2 linked regions of the Pelodiscus sinensis genome follow. The protein of the gene in region 1 interacts with the protein of each later gene in a pairwise test. Links are inferred from orthologs where the notes say so. Each region holds a gene or a part of one and is shown in the gene's direction. Other genes may lie near its edges.

Evidence for each region.
Region 2: the proteins of SATB1 (region 1) and TOPORS interact in a two-hybrid assay, tested with the Homo sapiens proteins (2 studies listed by BioGRID and IntAct). The link is inferred for Pelodiscus sinensis from reciprocal best matches to the Homo sapiens genes SATB1 and TOPORS.

Annotation. Positions count from the first base shown.
Region 1 is NC_134712.1:192,365,445-192,369,188, forward strand, and holds the start of SATB1 (DNA-binding protein SATB1), read left to right. Parts: upstream 1-875; 5' UTR 876-1,006; coding exon of another isoform or gene 1,007-1,010; intron 1,011-3,744. UniProt on the Homo sapiens protein: Crucial silencing factor contributing to the initiation of X inactivation mediated by Xist RNA that occurs during embryogenesis and in lymphoma.
Region 2 is NC_134716.1:11,370,292-11,374,035, forward strand, and holds the start of TOPORS (E3 ubiquitin-protein ligase Topors), read left to right. Parts: upstream 1-1,340; 5' UTR 1,341-1,502; coding exon 1,503-1,862; intron 1,863-3,744. UniProt on the Homo sapiens protein: Functions as an E3 ubiquitin-protein ligase and as an E3 SUMO1-protein ligase. Probable tumor suppressor involved in cell growth, cell proliferation and apoptosis that regulates p53/TP53 stability through ubiquitin-dependent degradation.

The DNA of each region.
Region 1 (3,744 bases):
CCCTTAAAATATTGATCACCTTTGTCAGATCCTTTTCGGAAACTCCCCTGCTCGCTCATCCTTTCACTCGCACGAAGCCAGCAGCAGCTGACAGCCAAGCATGTGGGGGTATAAATATTGAAATAAATGAGTCGGAGGGAGGGGGGAGGGAAGGAAAAAGAGAGTGTGTGTGTACGCGCGTGGAGGGGGGGGTGATCGGTGCTCCTGTGAGGGGCGCTGCTCTCCAGGAGCGGATGGGAGGGAAGGGGGGGGGGGGAGGCAAGATAATAGCATTAAAAACAACAACCAGCAGCAGCCCAACAACAACAGTGATTAGCTCCTACCCATCGCACAGGGGCTGGGAGGGGATTATCTGTCTCTCACCTGACTTCCTCCTCCACCGCGAGCCGGGGGGAGGCAGAGACACGCGCGCACACAAACCACTCTCCCCAACTCAGCCCCAAAACACACCGGCCAGAAGAAGGGGACCGAGCAAGCGCCAGACGCACACCCGGCTCCCGCGGCTGCGGCTCCCGGCTCCGCTCTACGCCGGCGCTCAGCCTCTCCCCGCCCTAGCCCGGCTCTGCCGCCACCGCGCACCCGGGGAGGGCAGCAGCAGCAGCAGCAGCAGCCGCCGCGGCTCAGCTCGGCTCCGGCACAGGCGCGAGCAGCGTCCGCCAGGGGGAGAGAGGCAGCGAGACACGGCGCACGGGTGCGGAGCCTCCGGCCGAGCTCCGCTCGCTCGCTGGAGCCTGCGCCCGGCGTCCTTCCCCGCCCAAGGGCTCCAGAGAGAGGAAGCCGGGCACACGCCGGCCCCGCGCTGGTACCTTGCTGCCGACCCCGGCTGCTCCTGAGGAGCTGCTCGGCAACGGGGGCGGGCGGGCGTGCGTGGCTCCCCCCCTCCGCCTCTCCGTCCTCTAGACGCCCACTCCCGATGGGGGAACAGACAACTTGAACTTCAGCGCGATTAACTTCGCCGCCGCCTGGGAAGCTGAAGGTGTCGCCCAGCCTCGCCCGCGGCGCTCTCATGAGTGAGTAGGTCTCTTTTCCTCCTTCTCCGGTTTCCCGCCCCCCCCCAGCGCGCCTCGGGTCTTTTATTAAGTCACGTTGTGGGTCGGAGCACTGCTCGGGAGCGTGGAGGGGAAGCCCTTCCCGAGCCGGGCTCCACACACCTGCTGCCTTGGCAGGGCTGCGTGCCATAAACGCGGGGTGTGCGTGGGGGCGGGGGGAGTCTTGCCTCGGCTCCGGCTGCTGAACCCCTGCGGAGGGGCAGAGCCGAAGTCACTGGCCCGGTAGCCCCCTTCCCCTAAAGGCAAGTTCCCTGAAAGTTTGGCAAACTTCCCCCCACGTTCCCCTGAGAACGCGCTGGGCTCGGGAGGTGCCAGCCGCCTTGGCGACAGGTTGCCTGGGTTTGGCGCGCTGCGAAGATGCATTTGTTAAACGTGCGTGGGCTGGGTTGTGTTGAGGGGCACTTGGCCGACGTGTTTAACCTGAAACGCAAAGTTGTTGAAGACCGTGTGTTGCGAGGCTTCATGGGGGAAGGGGGAGGAGAGAGGCGGAAAAGATCAACTTTGGCAGTGATCTCTGAGAGGGGAAGGTTTCTCCTCGCAGCACGCGTCGTGGCAGCTGGCGTGTCAGTGACCTTAGTGGTGAGGAAGCACAGTAAGCCCAGGTACGCTATCTCTTCTCCTCTGCACCTCCTTCCCCTGGCGTTCTCCATTTCAGATCTGGTTTGGTCCATGAAGAGGCAGCGAAGGGCCCACAGGGGAACAGGCACTTAGACAATCCCCCCTAAGTTGGTAGTTTTAAGTACGTTAGCCAAAGCGTCCCACCGAGATACTGCCAAAGTTTAAAAGACCCCAGAGCCTCATTTGAAACGACGTTTTGCAATCTATATAAGGTTCATTTAGTTCAAAGGAAAATAATTCAAATCAAGTATTTTATACCTTAGATATTTTTAAAAGTCCAACAGAAAACTTCCTCTAATAATCACATTTTTGGTGAAATCTTTGATTAGTTCTAGGGTGAAGAACCAATGACAGACACCTGCAAGTTTCCAAGTTTTATACTGCTAGTCCCAGAAATCTAAAGTGCTTAGGTTACTGACAGAGAAACCCTTATTATCCCATTGAAAACTTGTGTTAAAATATTTTACAACAGCTTTTCACCCAAAATGAAGAAAAAAATGGAAAAAGCCAATAATCAGTTTTATTCAGTCAAACCTAATGTAATTGTCCTATGGAAATAATTCACAATTTCAGATTCAACAGCTCTAAGGTTCTAGTAGTAGACAGTACTAGGGTTAGCAGCAGGATTTAGCAGCAGCCCTTTATTTCTACTTTATATCATTTGGTATAGTACATTAGTATATATTTGTCTGCTTCAGTATGCTGGCAAACATTAGCATTCAAGCTTACATTTTTGACAAATGTGCAGACAGGAATAGCATGAATAAGCATCTTAAATATTAACAACCTAAGCATCTGTTGTGAAACAAATTTAATATATTTACTCTGTTTTTCTCACATTGTTAGAAAAGGTTACAATAAGTGTAAAATTGTAATGTTAGTTAATACAGGGATTGGATTGGATATTTCCCTATCTCTTCAAGTCTTTCAAGCAATCACCAGATATAACGATATTAATTCTGGTGCATTATTTTATAAAGAAAGTTGAACTGTATGCATACTGTGTAAAGACTTGAATATAGTACAGTGGCTGTAATGTGCATCGTATACACTTACAGTGTTAATATTATGTATACACTTTATATACACATTTCCTATTTCAGATTTTAATATCTCCCTTATCAAGTGGAAATATTTTATACACAAATGTGTAAACATGTACAGTAAAAAGTGAATGTAAAAAGATAGCGTATGTATGCATACATATGTTTTGTGTATATACATATCAATTGATAGCCCACATACATTACAAGGCTCTATAACAAAAATAAAATCATTGTCTGCAGTTGTACCCCGTCCTGAATACCAACAGCTAATGTAAAAGAAACAACTGACTTCAAGGAATTCCTCTTTTCCCTGGAAAAACAGTAATCTAAGTAAAACAAGAACATAGAGGGAAGTCTCCAAAAAGCCTGTATAGTATTTTCTTTCTAGAATCAGTGCATTCCTCCTTTTCCCCACAAGTGCAAATGTGTAATAAATAATAGTTCTTTGTATGCAAAATGAGTTTACTGGGACAAAAATATTTAAGTGGAATGTTTTTTGTTCATGCATTTTTAAAAAGTTAGTTTCTTTTTTTATATTCTTTGTTCTTGAACTGTTAAATAGCTAAGTTACTCCACAAGCATTCCTCCTTGTCTTCTGTTCTTTTAACAAGACCTATCTAAGGATAAGTCCCCTTGATACTTATTTCTGAGAGAGAAATATAAAACAGGCAAAGTCAATCTGTGATTTGTTAATGGTACATGTTGATTTGCAGAGTAAGAAGAAAGAGAGAATCTCCCTAATTAGCCAAAGATTGTAATAATCATTTTTATCTGAACAGGTTACCGTTTGCAGTGTAGGCCCATAAGGTCACCTGATAAGCACCTGTCCCTGTATTATTATAGAGATCTTGTGGTTACAAATAGTACTAAACTAAATACAAGGTGCTGTCTTCAAAGCACCATAATTCTCTAATACAAAATTCCAAAGGGATGTAGGCAGGTGTGCCCTTTCAAACCACAGAAGTGTTTCTCTGACATGTAATCAAGTCATAGATAACCACAACTTGTATTGCATTAATATTTTGGTTGGA
Region 2 (3,744 bases), on another chromosome or scaffold:
ACTACTCAATTAGTCAATAAGGGGGAGGAGGGCACTGACTATCCCCACTGCACCTCTGCCTTTAAATACATAGAGGCAGCAAGATGGGGGGAACTGCGAGTAGTCAACTTGACTAGCCAATAAGTCTAAGCTTACAGGGTAGTCAACTGTTCGACTACTTCTCCATCCCTAGTATTGATGTGAGCTGAAAAAAATATGTTGTCATCCTTAACTAATGCCATACCAATAGATTAAAACATGTACTATATTTTAAACATTGCACAATCTTTACCAAAGACATTGAGTCTGTAAAAGAAGAGACAACAGAACATATACTTGGTGTACAATTCTTCCTTGGCTGCTTCTTGGTATGGTATTCGTTTTCTAAATTGGCTTATTTAAAAAAGTGTCTCACTATATAAATTGCTCATATTTCTGTGGATTCTCTTAATTGTGTAAGTTTGATTTTTCTTTAAGCCTATCAAAGTTGAATTATGGGGTCAAGTCATAACATCTGAAATTGTTATGCCGGAATAAGTCATTTTCTGCCTTCCTAGTTGGTTTTCAGTGTTTAGTTGTGAAAATCCAGATGCTGTCAGTCTTTAATATTTCCTTTACAAATTCAGCCATTGAGTGGGATAATCCTTTTCAAGTTGCCACTGCGCTGCTATTCTTGATGCGTAGATAACGTATCCCCAGGAGAGTAATACAATGGCGAGAAGAATCTGTCAGAAGAAAACACAGTGTTGGGAAAGCGATAGAAATGTAGCCGTGTTAGTCTGGGGTAGTTGAAGCAAAATGCAGGACAATGTAGCACTTTAAAGACTAACAAGATGGTTTATTAGATTAGGAGCTTTCGTGGGCCAGACCCACTATTTGATCTGAGGAAGTGGGTCTGGCCCACAAAAGCTCATCATCTAATAAACCATCTTGTTAGTCTTTAAAGTGCTACATTGTCCTGCATTTTGCTTCAGTGTTGGGAAAGGTGCCGCTGTGCATTGCCCAGGTGCACGCGCACCTGCCCGTGAACAGGGGTCGGATCTTTAAACCCTTCTCACGATGAGGACGATTTTCACCGGCCCGGCGGAAGAGTGGCGGCGCCCACCCGACACTAGGGAAAGGCGGGTGCGAGGGGGCGGTGCTGCGGGTGGGGGCGGCCCGCGCGAGCAGGGGGGTTCGTGGCTCCGGGCAGGAACCGCAGACGGGACTGGCCGCCCAGCTGGGCCGGGCTCTCCGGGTCCTTGGCGTTGGAGGGGGGGGCGGTTCAGGCGCGAGCCGCGTCCGTTCCCCCAGGCGGGGCCGGGCCGGGGGCGACGCAGGCGCCTACCAGCGAGTAAAGCCTGTGTCGGGCGCGGTGGCTTAACGGCGCCATGGCGCTGGCAGCAAGAACCGCGTAGGGGCGGGGCCAAGGGAGATCACCAAGGAGACGGAGCTGGACGGGCACGTGCTCCCAACCGCTATCGTTGGTTGGGCCCGGAAGCGAAGCGCGCTGGATTGGCGGGCAGTGAAGTATCTCTGGGACGATGCCGCCCGCACCTAAGATGGCGGTCACGTGGTCAGCGTTCTGCGCGGGAGGCGCTGGAAGTCGTGGAGTTCCGAGCTCCAAGCCGTTTCCGGTCCCAGCAGCCCTTGCGGGGTTTCCGTCTTGCCCAGGGCCCGGCCGTCTCCTTGTGCAGCGAGCGGGTGGCCGGGCCGCGGCTGTCATGGCTGACCCGCTCAATTACCTCACAGACCAGGGCCGCCGCCGCCGCCTTCGTCATGGGGGGCAAGAGCCGCGGGCGGGGCCCAGCCCCGGCCGCTGCCGCCGCCAGCGACTCAAAGCGGCGGAGGCGGGGCAGTCCCGCGGCGAGGGGGAGCCGCCCGCCCCGGACAGCGGCGCCGCGGTGAGTAAGCGGCCCGGGGGGAGGGAGCCTGGGTCGAGCCTGGGGAAGGAAACGTCTTTCTGCTTTGCTGGGAAGCGCTAGCGCCTCCGGGTTTGGAATTTGGCCCCGTGGCAGGGGTGGGCCCGGTGCTGGTTCCGGGGCAGAAGGGGAGCGTACAAATCTGGGAAGGTTTCAAGTTTGGGGCAATAATTCCGTTCATACGTGCTCGGTGGAGACCTGTGAGTTTCACGGTTAAATACTGGAACTCCCGGGCTGTCAGCGTTCCCTCGGCCTGTGTTCACCAGCCTGGAGCAAGAGCAGCCTGCCTCCAATCTGGCGGGTTGGCAGAACCAGATCTAGGTGGGCAGGGAGAAGGCGTAGAGCGGGTTAAGGAGCCTGGAGCTGTGGTGGGTGGCAGGGGGGACTGTTTGGTGAAGGGTAGTAACTGAGAGAGGTATAGGGTTTCGGAGCAGTGGGATGGATGGGGACTGGCTGGGCAAGTAGCTACGGAATAAATTGAAATTGACTAGGTAAGGTGACTAGATCAAGGTGATGTGTGAGGGCAATTTAGACTGAGATCAGATGAGATTCAGAAGTTGGTGGGAGGAGTGTGAGGGAGTTTAGGCTGGTAATTAAAGACTATCAAAATGCATGTGCAGAAGGGGGCTGAATTCTAGCATTTTCCAACTTTGCAGCAAGTAGCAACTTTGCAACTTTAACATTATTTTAACATAGATTTTTGGCGTACATTACACTTGAACCTCTGGGTGTTCCTGATCTGGGAACAACTGTGGTAGGACCCTGCAGTCGGGAGGAGGTGGTGGTTCTATGTGCTGAGAATCCTCTACCCCTAGCTAGGGGAATGGCAGGACAGTGAGAAGCTTCTATGGAGACTCCTGTACTGGCAGGGTAAGGGGCATGAACCCATGTGTGCCACCAGGAGCAGGGCACCAGGTAAGCGCCCCACCTCTAGCCCCCTCCTGCCCTCCGTGTTCTGAAAAATACCCTAAACTGACATACCATGTTTCCCAGAGTTGCAAGATTGAAGAGGTTCAAGTGTATTTGCTACATCATTAATACACTTTCCTTACATCACAATTACTGGTGGTAGTATAGAAAACAAAAATAATAGTAGAATTAATAGGGTGGTCAACCTGATCAGATGCTAGAAAATTAGCCACCTTTAAAAATTTATATAAAAAACCACTGTTATATGACATCTAACTCAGTGGTCCCCAACCATTGGAGGTTGCCGGGTACCAGGGGGCGTGGCCGTTCGCCCGCCAGGTGCCAGAGGGCGGGGGCACTTGCGCGCCCGGGGTTGGCGCTCCCCACCCACCCCAAGCGCCGCGTGCCCAGGGCCGGCGCTCCCCCCCCCCCCCCCAAGCGCCATGCGCCCAGAGCGCGGGCGGCCAATCCGCAGCGCTCCCGGGGTCGGCTCTCGCCGTGTGCCCGAGGCCGGCTCTGGCACCATGCATGTGCCATGGGCCAGGCCAGCCCCGAGCACTTGGCGGGTGCACACAAATGCCCCCGCGGGTATGGTGTTGGGGACTGATGATCTAACTGCTATGGCACCCGCGGGCACCGTGTTGGGGACTGCTGATCTAACTACTATGATCAACATCTTGATCTTTTGTGGAAATACCCAACTGACAATACCCTCTCTAATACAGAAATATTCAACCACTATAATTATTTACCTTTTGCAATAATATAATAATAATTTGAAAACTAAAACACTCTACCCAAAACAAGAAGCTTGGCATAGTGGCAGTCTGAATTCCTAAGTGATAGAAATGTAGCCGTGTTAGTCTGGTGTAGCTGAAACAAAATACAGGACTATGTAGCACTTTAAAGACTAATAAGATGGTTTATTATATGATGAGCTTCGTGGCCAGACCCA